Regions from separate parts of the Mus musculus genome. Here all the other regions are reported to be linked to region 1. Evidence: microRNA targets listed by miRTarBase, many of them from high-throughput screens and not tested one by one. Region 1 holds a microRNA gene; each other region holds the end of a gene's coding sequence. Distances are between the middles of the regions.

What was found. The annotated mature microRNA mmu-miR-3060-3p reads CCAUAGCACAGAAGCACUCCCA and lies in region 1 at 1,356-1,377, shown strand. An mRNA with a match to its seed (bases 2 to 7 or 8) in the 3' UTR can be bound and repressed. Matches are read on the target gene's strand: a 7mer-m8 pairs with bases 2 to 8, a 7mer-A1 pairs with bases 2 to 7 and ends in A, and an 8mer does both.
Region 2: the mRNA of Arid3a is a reported target of mmu-miR-3060-3p. Seed matches in the 3' UTR shown: 7mer-A1 at 3,410-3,416 and 7mer-m8 at 2,292-2,298.
Region 3: the mRNA of Nln is a reported target of mmu-miR-3060-3p. Seed matches in the 3' UTR shown: 7mer-m8 at 1,645-1,651.
Region 4: the mRNA of Sec24a is a reported target of mmu-miR-3060-3p. Seed matches in the 3' UTR shown: 8mer at 2,175-2,182.

What each region holds. Positions count from the first base shown.
Region 1 is chr11:4,138,058-4,142,316 of GRCm38, forward strand. Mir3060 (microRNA 3060) reads left to right here and starts at 1,307; the gene lies at 1,307-1,389. It overlaps Rnf215 (ring finger protein 215), which reads left to right. Exons shown (of 9, transcript NM_027859.3): 6 at 1,682-1,801; 7 at 1,878-2,021; 8 at 2,241-2,343; 9 at 2,430-3,136. The coding sequence ends at 2,452. It overlaps Ccdc157 (coiled-coil domain containing 157), which reads right to left. Exons shown (of 12, transcript NM_001164620.1): 12 at 3,066-4,259.
Region 2 is chr10:79,951,615-79,955,873 of GRCm38, reverse strand. It overlaps Arid3a (AT rich interactive domain 3A (BRIGHT-like)), which reads right to left. Exons shown (of 9, transcript NM_001288625.1): 9 at 856-4,134. The coding sequence ends at 3,938. Among named protein-coding and RNA genes, the nearest start is that of Wdr18, 6.4 kb to the left of the region's middle.
Region 3 is chr13:104,021,531-104,025,789 of GRCm38, reverse strand. Nln (neurolysin (metallopeptidase M3 family)) reads left to right here. Exons shown (of 13, transcript NM_029447.2): 13 at 710-2,351. The coding sequence ends at 844. Among named protein-coding and RNA genes, the nearest start is that of Gm30967, 14 kb to the left of the region's middle.
Region 4 is chr11:51,691,807-51,696,065 of GRCm38, forward strand. Sec24a (Sec24 related gene family, member A (S. cerevisiae)) reads right to left here. Exons shown (of 23, transcript NM_175255.3): 23 at 457-3,435. The coding sequence ends at 3,321. Among named protein-coding and RNA genes, the nearest start is that of 0610009B22Rik, 5.3 kb to the left of the region's middle.

The DNA.
Region 1 (4,259 bases):
TGTGGGCCAGTTTCAAGTCAGACAGGTTAAAACCCTGGCTCCTAAACTTTAGGTGAACTACCTAAGCCAGGTGCTTTCCTGTTCTCTCTCTCTCCTCCCTCTCACTCTCTCCTCCCTCTCTCCCTTTCTCTCCCCCCCCCTCTCTCTCCCCTCACTTATTGGGGGGACGGGAAGCATTTGGTGAAGGGCAGAGGGATAGGTTACATCTGGGAGAAGAGCAGGCTGGGGAAGGGCCTCTGTGGCCTGGAGGTGAGAATGTATAGCTTAGTCCAGGCTGGCAGGGACAGAGGACAAAGCTGAATAGCTGAGAAGGTACTGCCAGCCAAGATGGGGGTGGCTATTCCATGTTATACAGCCATGGCAGGTGAAATGTTCAAATGATAGCCGGGCAGGCATCTCTAGGAACTGCCCTGAGCTGGGAATGTGGAAGTTGCGCTGAATCAAGTCCTGGCTGCTCCAGACCACAGGCTGCAGAGAGGCTCTTCTTGATGGCTGACTGGCCTGCCACACTGTAGTACACACTGCACAGTAGTCTGCACTGTGGCCAGGGAGCAGCTAACCACTGTCATTCCGTAGGGCTGACCCACAAGCTGGCAGCAGGCACAAGCTCTTCCAGGTCAAAGCAAAAAAGACCTGAGCCCAACCTTGGGCTCAGACTAGATGCCACCACTCCACTGTGATTAGAGGGGAAAGAGGCCTCTAATGATCCCAGTGCTGTCACCCCAAGCAAGGGCTGGTTTTGCTGCATTCACAGCTCCCAGACTGGTCTAGGATGGTAGCTCTTTTGTCTGGTCATTTTGACCCTTCTCCTTTGCTGTGATGGGAGTCAAACCTATGTTAGGAAGAACAGTCCCAGGATTTATAGGGCTGTTCGGACATCCCCCCCGTCTGCTGTGACAAAGAGCTACTAGGAAAGCTGAGGACTTTGAAGTGAATTGTTTTTCAGTCACAGTACATCTAAACTCGGTGTAAAATGGTGTGCCTGGGTGGGAAAGCCCCTGTGGCTTGCTGCTTCTGCCACTTCAGTTTCATTCCCCCAAAGACTGAGTCTCCAATATGACTATGTCATACTAAAGGGCCTGGAGGACTACCCAGGACAGCAGCAAGAGAGCCCATGGCCTATGGGTATGAGGAGGGCTGGGCAGGGGGAGCACTTACCCTGAGCGTCAGGGGATGCTCCTGGAGCAGTAGGTCAAAGGTGTGAAGAGAAGGGACAATGAAGATCAATTTTCATGACAGGGGAAGTGTGGCAAGGCAAGGGACAAAGGAGACCAAGGCATGGCTGTCAGATTGCTGGTGATGTCCTGGGCGTGGGGGTGGGGAGTGCTTCGTGCTTCTGGTTGAAGAGAAAATGACCATAGCACAGAAGCACTCCCACCAGCTTTGTCTGTGGCTTCAGGTGACCATCAGCTTAGATGACGGTGAGTGGAGGATGTAGGGACTGAGAACAGCCGAGGAGGAGATCTGTGCTGGGGCACAGTAACAGGGTATTAGGGAGACATGCGACTCTCCATGGAGCTGGGGCAGACCCGGGAGAGCACATAGGCCAGTGGCATGGAGACTTCAGAAGAGCAAGCGAGGGGCTTCCACAGGCAGAGCCCCTCAGTGTTTCGGGGGTTAATATCCCTGGGGGAAGCATGTGGAGCGTTCTCAGTGCCCTGACATCTGCCTCCCTTCGCAGAAGCCCCTGCAGCAGCTATGGAACGCCATCTTGCTTGTGGCCATGCTCCTGTGTACAGGACTTGTGGTTCAGGCCCAACGGCAGGCGTCAAGACAGAACCAGCAGGAGCCTGGAGGCCAGGTGGGAGCCAGACGGTGGAAGCCCTCATACCCGCAGCCCTTGGGCCTGCAAGACTGTGGCCATCTTCTTCCCACAGGAGGATTTGTTCAAACGCCGTGTGGTTCGGAGGCTAGCATCTCTCAAGACTCGGCGCTGCCGGCTGAGCAGGGCAGCACACAGCCTTCCAGAGCCGGGCACTGAGACGTGTGCTGTGTGTCTAGATTACTTCTGTAACAAGCAAGTTAGTACCTAGGCACAGTCAGCTACAAGCTGGCCTGTGGCGTCCCCAATCCTGCTCCCAAGAGACCCTCAAATCTCCAACCAGGACTGTCTTCCAGTCCTTATTATGGCTGGCAAAAGCATACCTGGCAATGGCCTAAGAGTGCTATATGCACAGTCCCGGTGAAGGGCACAGGTCTAGCTCCCATCTAGAGCCTGTGCCCCTCCTCTCACCCTGTAGTGGCTCCGGGTACTGCCCTGTAAGCATGAGTTCCACCGAGACTGTGTGGACCCCTGGCTGATGCTACAACAGACCTGCCCACTGTGCAAGTTCAACGTCCTGGGTGAGCACCAGGGGCCAGGTGGGATCCTGGGCTAACTCCCTAAGCCCCACCTGATGCCTCTTTCCCTGTCTTTCCTTTCCTTACAGGGAACCACTACTCAGATGACTAACTGCCCCAGTGGAAAGTCTGCAGTTCGGGACGGACCCTTCCCAGCCTACACTACAGGAGAGTGGGATGGACAGACCAGCTAGCCCTGTGGGCAAAGGAAAGGTCCCACCATGCCCATGGCGGGTAGAAGGGCCTCCCAGCTCCAGGCTGAACACAGAGCCGGACCCAGCAGGCAAGGAGAAATCATTAAGAGCCCTTCTCTGCAAACCTGGGGTATTTGTGTCTGTCCTCATAGGCGGCTCCCACAACTCTGGGAAGAACATACGGCCATTACACCTGTCCCCAGCACTCCGGAGCGTCAGTGTTGAGTTTTATGCTATCTATTGGGGGATAGATGAGGGGAAAGATGTGTGGCCATGGGACCCACTGGCAGGAACCTGTCTTTCAGGCCAGGGCCTGATCAATGACTTTAAAGTGAGCCTGCTCCGTGACCTGCTGCCTGTCCAGCTGAGTTCTTCCAGGCTGGCTGGGTTCAGAGGCCTTAGAAACCATCTAGTGCTGTATTTCTTGGTTGGGCTAAATGTTACTGACCAGGATACTTGAGGCCACAGAATCTATGTGGTGCATCTGCAAGGGCATCATTAAAAGGAAAAAACAAAAACACAAAACAAATGTTTGGGTAGGGAAGTTTTAATAGTAAAATAAACATGGAATCTATTTTAACATAAATCTGTTAAGACATAAATCTGTGTGATGCTTTAAGATATTAAGGAAAAGATGGGTATGTGGTGACATATGCCAATAATCCCAGAAACATGGAGGTGGAGACAGGAGGATTCATAGTTTAAGACCAGCTGGGCATAGCAGTGCACCCCTTTAATCCTAGCACTGGTAAGGCAGAAGCAGGCAGACCTCTGTGAGTTCAAGGCCAACCTGGTCTACATAGCGAGTTCCGGGACAGCCAGCACTATACAGAGAGACCCTGTCTCAATATAACATCACAAAACAAAAAGTTCAAGGCTGCTGGGCAGTCCCTGCAATCCCCTTGTTCTTTGTCCTCTGGGAAGGGAAACCAGAGGATCATGAACTCCTGATCATCCTTGGCTGCACAGGGAGTTTGAAGTCAGCCTGGGCTACTCTCAAAAAGAAAAACAAACAAAATACCAGTCACCTTGGTTTCTCTTGCTGGGAACAGGTAGAATTCTTAAATTCCTCAAGGCCTTGCACTCCTGGGCTGCACAAACATACCTTGCATAATCTTTAAAATATTGACTCTAAGACATTTTAGCCCCTGTGAACAGGTTATGTAAAGTGACCTTCAGATGAGAGAGGCAAGGACTGGGGCATGGGGAGCTGGTAGAGCACTTGCCTAGAATGCACAAGGGCCTGAATTCAGTTCCCAACACTAAACACTAACAATAAAAATGAGGAAAGCATCTGACCAACACACAAGCCCACGGAAAGCAGGAGGAAGTAGAGGACCTTGGGGCATCCCATACAGGACACACATTGTCTGCTGCACACCCTCCATTTCTTTCTCTTTTTCTTTTTGAGACAGGGTTTGTAAGTGGCTCTGGCTGTCCTGGAGCTTTCTCTGTATACCAGCCTAGCCTCAAACTCAAAGAGAGACTCCTGCTTCTGCCTCCTGAGTGCCAGGATTAAAGTGCTACCATGCCCACCTCTGCTGCCTTCTTGAAGATGGGTGGTACCAATAAGAAGCCAGGCAAGGAAGGCTCCTTGAAGCAGCAAGGCTCCAACCCCACAGCCTAAGCCTAAGCCTAAAGCTCTGTCACAGCCAGGAGCTTGTAAGAGGACTCTTGCCCAGAGCCATCTAAAGGAGCCATCCTGAGTGATACCTTAGTTTCCCC
Region 2 (4,259 bases), not on the chromosome of region 1:
GGAGGCTGAGGGACTCGTGAGCCGGAAGCCAGGAGGCAAGTAGGTGGCCTGGTCTCCTGGAGGTTACCAGGAGCTTTGGTCCCTGGATGATGGGACGTGGTGGCCGTGGGGGTTGGTGGCGAGCCCTGGGGAGTTAGTTGGCTTAAGAGGGCTCCACCTGGTTTTGGGGGGGGCGGGGAGGAGGTGGAGGTGTGAGCGTCACATGTAACTAGCCCAGAGGACAGAGATGGGCTGATGTTGTCTCAGTGTGAGCTGAGGGTAGGGCTAGAAAGGAATGGCTCACAGACAGGAGGCCGACAGGGAAGGCATGCAGGGGAACAGCCTATGCAAAGGTTCTGAGACAGGCCATGCGTGTGGCTCCCGGCTTTAGTTCCAGTTCCCGGGAGGCAGAGGCATTGCCCATCTCTGTGCTTTGAGTTTTGGGCCAGCAAGGCTTTGTAATGAGACCCTGTCCCAAGAGAATACAGTCAGCATAGACTGTATGAAATTCTCAGATAGTAAAGTTGTTTGTTTGGTTTTTGTTCTGTTTTTCTTTTAAGCAAGAAAGGAAACAGTAGCTAGACAGGAACCCCACCCTCTCCATGATCTGAGTTCAGTCCCTGAGACCGATGGGGTGGAAGGGGAAAACCTTGCACACAGCGCCCACCCACCATCCACGGGGCAACCTTGCACCCACCACCCATACAGACATGAAGTGAAAGGAGAAAGCATGCAGCAGGCAGGGCCTCCTCCACACAAACCAGGTGCTTCCTAAGTCTCACCAACTATTCCTGTCCCCAGACATCCATTCCTAGTATGTTCTGTGGGGTCCCCTCCACACACCAACAAAACAAAACAAAATCAAAAAAGCCACTCTTCTTTCACAGAAGTGTCTCAACTCTTTAATATCACTGATTTACAGGGTTACAAGCCCGTTAAATATTTCTGAGGTTTAAATACAATCCACAATAAGGTCATAAAATGTAAACTTTCAGTGTTTCTTTTTAAAAATTTCAAAAATCACACCTTACCCCATTGTTGTCTGAGTTTTCCTGTTAATAGCTGAATTTTCCTGAATATTCCGCACAGCTGTGACCATTGTGGGCCTCAGGCCACAGCCTGGGCGGGAACTGACCACAGGGGCCTGACCAGAGGTAGAAAACAGTTTTTTCTTTTTTTTTTCTTTTTTTTAATTTAATTTTTTTAAAATCCACTTATTTATTTTTTCACTTTTACCTGAGTTTGTGTGCAACCCCCAGGCTGTCGGACAAGCCCTTCCCACCCCCAAGAAACAAAAATTCCCCTGTTCCTAACAAAACAGCCCAGCTCACATTTACCCAGAAGGAAAAATAAAATCCACAAAAGCCAAAATTATGTGGAGGTGGGGGAAAAAAAAACCCAAAGTGTGTAAAAATGATTAAAATGAAAGAAAAAAAAATAGACTGTACAGATGCATAACCCTCAGAAATCATTAACCCAGCTGTCCCCAAACCCCATCCCTACCCACCCACTGCAGCTGGACAGACAGACAGACACACAGCCTGGTGGCCTGCGTAAGGGTGACCAGGAAGGTTCTAGAAGCAGCCTGTGCCTGCCCCTCCACCCTTTGCCCTGAGTTTGGGTGTCTCACCTGCCCCACGCCAAGCCCTGAGGTACCAGGTGGACAGTAACGACCCCAGCTCTGACCCCACTCCAGTCTGCATGGGTGCCAACTGAACCCCATGCGAAGGCCTAATGGGGCAACTGAGGCACAGACAGGACCAAGAAGGGCTGCTGAGTATGCCCAGCAGGGGGCACCCCACTACAGTCACAGAGCCATGGGGGGCAAGGTCCCCTGAGTTAGGATCTGGCGCTTCTGGTCACTCACAGAGCCTGAGATACAAGTGGACACCAAGTTCCCACCATGGGCATTGAGAAGGTGACCAGACAAGTGGGTGACCTGGGCGCATTTCTTTTTCTTTTTGGCATCAAAAGACCTGAGGTAGAAAGAAACTTGCCTTGCATGTGCCCACCAAGGTGACCCCCTCAGATAGACCCCACTAGGGACACAGGAGGCTGGCTGCTATATCCCTGAGCCAGTTACCCATGGAGGTGGACTTTGGACAGGGTTGTCAGAAGGGACAAGGACCCCTCAACACCCTTGACCAGGAATGATTGTGCGGCTAAGACAGTGGCCCCAAAACGGGGCAGGCAGAAGCTTCCAGAAGGAAAAGTTGAGATCTCCCTCCCCTCCAAATAGGCGGCACCCCCTCCTGGAAGGATGGAAGGGGTGTGTTGACAACCTGAGACAGGACAAAAGAGGGCCCGATCCCCATAGCATACACTTGGGGGTTCATGGCTCCTGGGGCTGAGGAACAAGCAGGTCCCAGCTCCCAGGTCTGCATATGCCCCACTCCTCTTCCAGGAGAACCCAGCACTGCCCACTTGGGAATGGAGACCAGGCTGAGTCCAGGACAGGTTCCTCCGTCCAGCAGAGAGTATGTATGCAGCTCCAGCCAAAAGGAATCAACGTTTTTTGGTTTTGTTGTTGTTGTTTGACAGGATTTCACTGTGTAGCCCTGGGCAGCCTGAAATTAACTGTAAGACCAGGCTGGTCTACTCGCAGAGTGCTGGGATTAAAAGTATGTGCCACTACCCAGCCTGGTCTTATTTTGCTTCTTTGAGATAGGGTTTCAAGTAGCTCAGGCTGGCCTCAGCCTCTATATGTAGCCAAGGATGACCTTGAACTCTCTCCATCCCCCTGCCTCATCCTCCTAAGAGCTGGGATGACAGGGTGTGCCGCCATGCCTAGTTTGGCTCCTATGGAAGAGACAGCAGGATCCTTCCCGGTTGACTACTGTCACATTCAGGTGTTGTCCCAGCAAGGGGAGTGACAAAGAGGAAGAGAGATGGAACACAGGAGGCTGTGACTCAAGTCTAGTCCTTGCCCTGAGCTAGGCCCGTTGTTGCATCTGTCTCTTGAAAGCAACCTATCCAGGCAAAGAGAATCCAGCACTGTCATCCCTGAGGCACAGGAGGCCACTGCACTCCATGGCTCCCCTACCCGTTTCTAGAACATTCTGTGTCCTGGGTAAGCAATCCAGGTTCCTGAATGATGGAGCCAGTGGGCAGGGCCAGCCTGACCGAACTGTGGAAACTGCTGAAAGCCAGCATCTCCTAGCTGAGCCAGGGGCACTGCAGGACACGCAAGGGCTCTGGGGTGACAAGGGTGGGGACCGACCATGGCTGGTATTTTGCTTTTCTCTTTTTTTAAAAAAAGTCTGTTTCCCTGAATGAACACAAATATATAGATATACAGATAGATTCTTCCTAAGATCCAATCCCTGCCCTCAAGAATAAAATAGAATATTTACAAAATCAGAAACCCCAAACCCTTTTTTAAAATTGCGTTCTGAATGCGGAGATCTTGTTTTAAAAAGAAAAGAAAAATTCATAGCTTCCAAGGTTGGTTTTTCCAAAAGGAACTATGGCTAAAGACCAAGGAACAAAAAAAGAAAAAAAAAACAAAAACAAAACAAAAAATTGTGAACACGCAGTGCCGGGATTCATGAGGTAAACAGACGTGCTTGAATGGGCTGCTCAAGCAAAACCCCGTGGAAGCCTCTGGAAAGGGGACCTCCTTCGGCTTCGAGGTTGCCTTGGTGGCCCTCATCAAATCCATTTCTTGGAGTCTCCGAAACCTGAGAGATTCAAGTGTTCTTTGCTTTGCCCTGATTTATTAAATCTGTTTCTCCATCTATCTATCTTTCTATATATGTATATATATATATATATATATATATATTCTTTCTTTCTTTCTCTCTCTCTCTCTCTCTTTCTCTCTCTCTCTCTCTTTTTTGGCGTCAGTGTGGCTCCTTGGGAATCTACCGGCCCACTGGGATTCTTCTGACGTCCCAGGTTCCCCTGTGTGGCCGTGTGGTCCCTGTGGCAGGTGGGCAGCCATGCAACTTGGTTTCCTTTAAGGCAAGGAGTTGTTTGAGGTAGAAGACATGGTGGGTGTAGACACCCCCGGCAGCCCCACCTGGCCGCCGCTGACAGTGCTGCCACTGGCTCCTGTCCGGCTGCCCGTGGTGGTGTTGGTACCGATGCTGCTGACGCCCCCTTTGCCGGGGGCGGAAGGTGCTGTAGGAGGTGGTGGCTGAGCGAACAACACACCTGGGACAAAGGCAAAGGGAGGGTCGTGTCACAGGGCTGGGCTTTTCAAGGGCACAAGCCTGTGATCCTAGCAATTCGGGGGGCTGAGGCAGGAGGATCACTAGTGTGATGCCAATGCAAGACCA
Region 3 (4,259 bases), not on the chromosome of region 1:
GTGACGCTGAGCAGCAGCTGTTCTCTTTCAACATGTCTGCTCGGATGTTCATGTGAATAAAAACAGAGGAACTGTGGTTTGTTTTCAAATTCCAGACTTCCATCTCTCAAAACTTCTGTCCTTCCACTCCTGACCCCTCAGAATCACTTGTCACTTAGCCATCCACAAGAATGCTGCTTAGGTTTCTTTGTGGGGGGTTGTTTTGTTTTTTCGTGAGCCCCTTATAAAAATACCTGAAGGCATTTGACAGTAGCCGAGTTCCTGCTCCGAAGCACATGCAGCCCCATAGCCTTGGGAACACTTGCTCTGCTAGCCCTTCTGAATCACACTGGAACTGGGCTAACTGGCAGTAGCAAATTGTGTTCTGTTTGGCTGATTGGTGTCCCTGCCTGCCTTCATTGTCAGCTCACAGCTGAGAATCTAAGGACAGGAGACAATAATTAATATTCCACAGGGAATTCAGGCCTGAGGCTAAAGCTCCAAATCTCTTAACTACAGGAAGGAAGGAAGGAAGGAAGGAAGGAAGGAAGGAAGGAAGGAAGGAAGGAAGGAAGGAAGGAGCGAGCGAGCTGCTGCGTGAGCAGAACTGTCTAGACTCGAGTAGAGCTGAAGCCCCTTTCCTCGCCCTCACCTCTCTCTCCCTTGTGTCTGGGGATCTGGAGGATTGCTGGGCCCGTGAGTTATTAGGCATGATGTTTTCTTTTATTAGGTTGGAATGAAATACAGAAACCTAATCCTGAAGCCTGGGGGGTCCCTGGACGGCATGGACATGCTCCAGAATTTCTTGCAACGTGAGCCAAACCAGAAAGCATTCCTGATGAGTCGAGGCCTGAATGCTTCGTAAAGCAGGGACGCTGGGGGCTGTCCGTGGCTGGAGGACAAGCCAACACCGTCCGCCATGTGGTGCCGGCCTGGAGACTGAAGGCAGTTTTACAAAGGAAAACTTAGATTTCTATTCATTTGCTTTTGTTTCTTCATTTTAAAAATTATACAGATGTAAATGGAATTATAAATACTGTGACCTAAGAAAAGACCCACTAAAAATAATTGTACTATAAAGTTTCATAAAAACAGATTTGATTTCTTTTGATAAAAGTTTCATATGACTGTAATTTGATTTTTTTACTGTTATAATCCAGATAATATAATGTAAGAGGGCTAAGACATTTTAAATTGAATCACATACATGATATAATTTGATCTTTCTTATATCTTGAAGTTTTATACTTGAGATTCCTGGACTGATAAGTGAATCAGCATGTTCTCTCTGGTAAATATTTTCTCAGAGCCCTGTGTCAACCTTGACCCTCTGCCTCACAACTAAGTGACAGTTTGCCTGTGTGTGTCAAGGCCCGCAGGATACACTTCAATGCTGTTTGTCTTTTGTAGTGAGCTTTGTGATTCTCGGCTTCTGTCACACTTACTTACATAGCTCCACTTAGATTTGGGGTTCTTTCCCTTCTAAAATTTAATTTCTAAAGTTAATATTATTATTTAGATAATATTTTTAAATTTTGTTTCAACTGGCCTAGTATATAAGTTTTGTGTCTTGCACTAGAAGCTCAAATGTCAAGTCTTCGGTTGCAGTCACAGTGAGAGAAGCAGAGAACTTAGGCATCTTTTGGGTTCTCGACTTTTAGTATTTGCTATGTATTTGTTTCTGCTTGTTTTGCTTATATATATATATTTTTTTTATTTTGTTTGCTTGAGGCACCATCTCACCATGGAGCCAGATTCGCCTGGAACTCATGGTAATTCCCCTGCTTCGGCCTCCCAAGCCTTAGGGGCGCAGGTGTGAGCTGCCTCACTCAGCTCAGTTCTCACGTTTCTAATAAGACTCTGACCTTGCCTCCCTGAAAGTGGTAGGTCGGCCCTGTAGTCACAGTGTGTTGAAGTGCCAGGGGGAGAGATGACATCCACTGGAACTTAGCTTTGAAAACTCCAGAAAAGAGTGCGTTGGAGCAGAGCGTTTGCGAACAGCTGCTCCCAAGTGTTCCGTGGGCAACCGAGCTGTGGGAAAAGGCTGTCCAGCAGGCTGTTTCATATGGCGACTGTTAAGTGAACCTCCAGATCTCCAACTCCTTTTATTGGGACCTAAGTTTCCAGCTCAGAGTAGTGAGCTCACAGCATTATTTTAGCCTTGGGAGTCTACTCCAAACGGAAGCCAAGTAGGATAGAGAGGAGAAAATGTAAATGAGCTGTGATCGGACTTTCCACAGGGCTTTGAGTTGTTTCTCCACACATACCTGAGGAATGACTTTCCTGGCAGGAAACGAAATTAGAGCCTGTCTGTTCTTTAGACCCGGTGGACTTTGTGTTCAATAAAATATTATGTCGTGTAATAAAGTTATACAGAGTACCAAGAGCTGGTACACAGCAGGGAAGCCCTTTGTTTATGTAGTTTGATTTGATTTTTACAAGGCTGGGCATCAAACCTCCGGCTTCTTCACCCATGCTAGCAAGTGCTATGCTCTCCCAGCTGCTTTTATGGTGGTGGTAGAAACCTCTGGAAGCGTCTCACATCTGTCCCCACCCCCATTTTTGTTTCCTACTTTCAGACAAAAAAAAGGAGAAAAAGAAAGAAAAAAAAAAACTCTCTTCAGCTTTTTCTATTATTGCCCGGTTTGTCTCCTTCAAAAATAACTTCATCATAAATCTTACTTTACTTGGAAAAGCTAATAGCCAGTGTGTAAAAGACTGACTGCACACAATAAAGTGACATCATTGTCCGTGAGAATGAGCTCACAGTACTTTTGTCTTTTAATGTTAAAGGCACAGCGAATCAGCCGCGCAACCACCCCTCGTGTTGTGTTTATAGGTGGATGCCACCACCCTCTGCTTGGGCTTCTATTTGGTTGGATATTCCTGCATGTTCCATTTCCTCATAAGGAACAGGTTTGGTACCCCTGTTCCGCTGTGCTCGTCCTCTGTTCTCAAGCTTTCCACCGGCGATTTTCAGATACCCAGAGGCAGCTCTAAAGTGTTCTTCCCAAGGTACAATGTCTGCAGCGTTTGTCATCAGAGAAGCTGGATACCTAAGAAAGTTTTATAGAAAGTGCTCACTGTGCCCATCAAGGTACTTGGTGTCTCTGTTGACATACCTTTGTGCTTGAGAGATAGGACTGGATAACTTTGGCTAAGTGGATTCCTAGCTATTGAATAAAGAGGGGGAATAGCAAGTCCTTTGGCTAAAAGCAAGAAAATCCACTAAAAAATACTAACATATAAATAACAGCTGGAATAGTTATATATGAACATGTTATTAAAATTGAAAGATTCCTCTACTAAGACAAACATAAAACAAAATTAATCAAGTCCCATTGTCAGGTAGAGGCAAAACCTCACTGTGATGATGTGACTTGGCAACCAAAAGTCTTGGTGACCTTCTAGCCAAATATCAGTAGCAGTTCACTGTTTAGCACATATAGGGAGGGGCCTGTGGGAAGCACAAAGCCTTTGAAGAGGGAACTGGAAGATGTTTGTATCCAGATCGAAAGTCCCTCTGGATCCCAATATGGTTAGCTCCCATAAGGAATGGGCTACTATGACCCATCCTAAGAACTACATTTTCAGCAGGCTTGTATTAATTAGCATCACAAGTGTTTGAGAAACCAACAATATGGTGATGACTTTGGAAATAGCCCTCAAGAGGAAAGTTCGTCTGGAGAGTGAATTCTCAAGTGAATTCTCACTGTTTCAAATACTTACACACTATGGGAGAGCTGATGTCATGGCTAACGGTGTTGGAGCTTAAAGGTACAATTAGAAAATAGAAGACTTCAGTATGAGGAACAGCTCCTAACTGTTGACTGAGACGCTTTCTGCTGCTGTTTGTGAGGGTTCATAAAGAACCTGTGTCCTCCATGGGTGTTACAGACATTTCCTCCACAGGTAAGCTTTGAGGTTTCTTTCTGTAGTGGTCAGGGAGACATAACTTGGGTGACAGGTTCGTGTTCTGCATCTTAGGGCACTGAGAACCGGGGATATGGGTTACTGGATAAAATACCTGCTGGGCAAACGTGAACCCCTTCATCTACAGAAAAGCCAGGTATGGCAAGAGATGCTACTACTGTGCCAATCCCAGTGCTAGGGGGATAGCAAACAAGCCAGCTCCATGGCCAGCCTAGACAAATCCGCGAGTCCCAGTGTAGAGGACCAGTCTCAAAACATAAGAGGAAGATAACCAGTATCAGTCTCTGGCCTCTAACATGTACTTTGGCACACACAAATGCACATGAATGTGCACACACAAATAGAAA
Region 4 (4,259 bases), 48 Mb from region 1:
GAAATAACACTGTAGAGTATTAAGGATAAAAACCACCAAAGGCTAGGAGACAATCGGCAAACAATAGTTGGGCCTATAGGTTAGTCATCTTTTAAGGCACCAACGTTCAGAAAGCCATCCTGTCCAATCTGGAATCCAAACCTAGCTACCCTTGTGGAGCATCAAGCATTCAGTGTAAGGCTGAAGCTATGGTTTCACAGGGTAGAGTGTTTGCCTAGCTCAAGTGAAGGCCCCTTATGTACTTTTCCAGTACCGTATAAGTCAAGGTGCAGTGGGACACTCTTGTAATTCTAGTACTTAGGAGGTAAAGGCAGGAGGATCAGGTCACAGTTCTGTCCTTGGCTACATAGTCAGTGTGCAGCTAGATGAGGCTATAGGAGAGCTATCCCCAAAACAAACCCGTGTAGAGGCAGGAAGGCCACCAATCTAGACTATCTTCAATAACTAACATTTTCATAAGCTCTTTTGATTAACTTTATTGAATAGCCAAATTTATAAGTTAGCACAGATCAAACATTGTTTGCATGGGTTACAAATGACTTTTTTTTAAAAAAACAGGAATAAAACAGTGAAAATTACAATCTGTAAAAAGGAAGACCAATCTTGTCTCAACATTTCAGGGGAGCAAGACTGAGCACAATACACTGGAGGTCAACATATACTTTTGATTTGAGAACAAGGACTTAATGTTACAATATCATATACACTACTTTACAAAATTAAAATTTCTATGTAACAATTGTGTTTATAATAGTTAAAACTGTGAAATCACATTTGGTGGTCCCCTAGATAATAGCTGTTATGCATCTCTGATTAGAAGAAGTAAATCTTTTATTCTAATTATTGCAAAACAGTCTATTAGACTCAGTATATTACATTAAATTAAAATATATGCAAGCTAAAATAAGTGTTACTGCGTAAGTGAATATTAGTATGTCAGACTTACAGGAACATTATTTTAAAAATTCTAGAAATTAGAAAAATAGAGTACTTTTTATGGTAGAACTGCATGCTCAGATTTATATATCAAGATTGCCCTTGTCTGTTACTTTAGTAGTTGTAGATCTGTAGAAAATTCAAGGATCTTTCATAATTTACAACTACAATAAAAAAAATATGGCATAGTGTAAATATTAGTTGCTTTACATCAGAAAGTAATACAGGATGGTAGGACGGGTAGTGTCTTACTGCAAAAAAAAAAAAAGTCAAAACTGAAAAACATTCAATATAGCAAAAAAATAATCATATCAATATTCCACAACGGTTCATTCTCTTGTCTGGAGAACAAAGTTGTGAACCCTAATAGTTATGTTTTTATAACTGTTATAAAATTACTCTGGATTGCACATAATATAATATCTAAAATAAAATTTAAAAGTAAATTTGTAAAATATACTAACCAAGCAGGTGCTAATAAGGGTCAGACTCACTCAGGGAAGGCACGAGGAAGGTTTCCCTAGGAGTACATTTCCCTCTGGAAGATTCCTTACTATGAAGAAAGAACCTAAAAATACTAACATTTAAAATCCCATTAAAAAGAAAACTTTAGTTCATTTAAAGGAACATTGTATATAATGGCTGTTTCTTAAAAAGAGGGGAAATAATATACACTTAATTGGTTATAGTTTGAAAACTGCTTCTCAATAAATGAAGCAGTTTAAAAAAAAAAAAAACCTCAATTGAATGTACTATATGTACACTGAAACAAAAATTTTCAATTGTCTTTTTGAGACAAAGTCTAGCTGGTCTGGCACTTGCTATGTAGCCCAGGCTAGCAATCGACCTGCTGTAGCCGTAGCCTTCCAAGCACTGGGGTTAGGATCCTGTGCCACCATCATGTGTGGCTTGGAATTAAAAAAGAAAAGGAACTCTAACACTGTTACTCTCACAAAGCACAGTTGTCCGGAAGCAGCTGGCAAGCATAGCTGTCTGTACACTCCAGGGGCCTGCTGCTTCCCTTCCCAGGAGTTACAGTCAGCCCGTGTGGGTGTAAACCTGGAAGTTACTATTATATTGGTGATCACATGAGACGGAGATTGTAAACACATTTCTAATCTATGAAAACAAAAACCAAAAAAAAAAAAAAATCTCTGAGTATTACACACAAATATTACTAAAGAAGTTCATACAAGATGATGAACCTGTGAAAACTGAGGCAAACTCTTAAAGACACATCATAGCACTTTAAATACACATGGATAATTTACCTATTTGTAAACAAAAGCCATCTGATAGTTTGACTGTAATAGTTCTCTAACTGAATCAAAACAAGCAGTCTTTAGAGCATGATAACAAATCAAGTTTCTTTTATAATTTTAAAATGATGGATTTGTACAATCTTAGTATCCACCAACTCAAACAGCAGCATTCATACCTTAAAAGGTTTTAATATCCCAGAATACATGAACGGCTTCCAATTTAATCCTTAAACTTCCTAGAGATACGCTGATGCATTCTAAGATTGCATCTAGGGAACCTTTAACTGCTTGTAATACTTTAACTCTATCAACCACAGCAGAAATGGACCAAACAAAAACCCACTCAGCGAACCAACAGAACCAGCTCCTATTATCATTGCCAGTCCTGATATATTTATGAAGACAGCTCAAATTTTATTCACGGCAGAATAAAACAGCAGAAAACCACCTAATTAGTTTTCACCTCAAATTAAAGTGACTTTGTTCAAGTAGAGAAAATACTGACAGATGTTAAAGCTTGACAATTTACTTTATATTCTTCCCAAGCAGGACCAGAGCTAGTGTACTCCAATTTCAGTTAACATGATCCTTTTCCTTCCCTACAAAATGAAGTGGGGGGGGGGGCGGGCGGGGCAAAAACAGATATGTAAAGGGATGGATTCCAGCTTTTCTACAGTCTACTGACTTTTGGATTTTCCAATTTAAAAAAGATCATTATTGATAGACTTGAAACGTCCCTAAAACACTTAGTCTTGTGACGTTTTTAAATGTAGCAGCCAAAAACTCATAAAAATAAAAAAATGAGAAATAGAAATGCAGAACACAGAAGTCTTTATTTTATAAAATGTTCTTTGCCTCTGCAATATTGTCTCATCTCAATCCATAACAACTCAAACATAGTTGGCAGCAAAGGGAAAAAAAAAGGTTTCCAATTGTGTAGACATCTATTTGATTTGAAAAATACAGTATTTTGGAGTTGCACATCTGACTCTCGGCTGTGGTCCTTTCTTTGCTATAGTTAGTTGAAATCACAGTGAAACATCTTAATCATCATCACATTTGTTCACAATCTTAAGGAGGAAAGAAAGGTACTGCATCCTCAGGAACTCCGCCAGCGACTCCTCACTTGTTCACTTGCTGCTGTATGTGCAGGAGGAATTCATAATATGACAGTGCAGACTCTGTTCTGTCTTCTACCAAGCTCTGAAGGAAGGCTGCTTTCATAAGACTCTCCTCCCTTAGAGATAAAAGGCAGCAATGATCATGTGTGTTAGATGCAGTAGAATAAACCTCAGATTCTTTTCATAGGCTACTGATTTACTGTGATACTTAGGGTAATTCTGATCATATAACCAGCTATGTCTAGGGGCTGTAAAGATGGCTCAGTGGTTTAAAGGACTGGCCACTCTTTTTTTTTTTTTTTTTCCATTTTTTATTAGGTATTTTGCTCATTTACATTTGCAATGCTATACCAAAAGTCCCCCATAGCCACCCACCCCCTCTCCCCTACCCACCCACTCCCCTTTTATGGCCCTGGCGTTCCCCTGTACTGGGGCATATAAAGTTTGCGTGTCCAATGGGCCTCTCTTTCCAGTGATGGCCGACTAGGCCATCTTTTGATGCATGGACTGGCCACTCTTATAGAGGACCTAGACCATTAGACTCATTTGGTTTCCAACACCTAAACAGTGGCTCACAACTGTCTCTAAGTCCAGCCCCTAGGGGATTCAGCACCCTCTTCTGACTCCCAAGGGCACCAAGTATACATACATACAAGTTTACATACATACATGTAGGCAAAACACACACTCGCAGAACACACACACACACACACAATGACTGTAAAAACCAAAGAAATTATGCCTGGAGGTTTCTCTGATGTAAATGTTTGTTATTTAGGGGAGAAACTACTGACATTTTTATGAGTAAGCTTATCAAAATTTTATCAATTCTAATAATTGGTTATCATGTATAGTTTATGACAGTTGAAAAGAAGTATATTTTATCTTTCCATATTCTTTTTATTTTTTTTGAGACAGTGTCTCATGTAGCTCAGGGTGG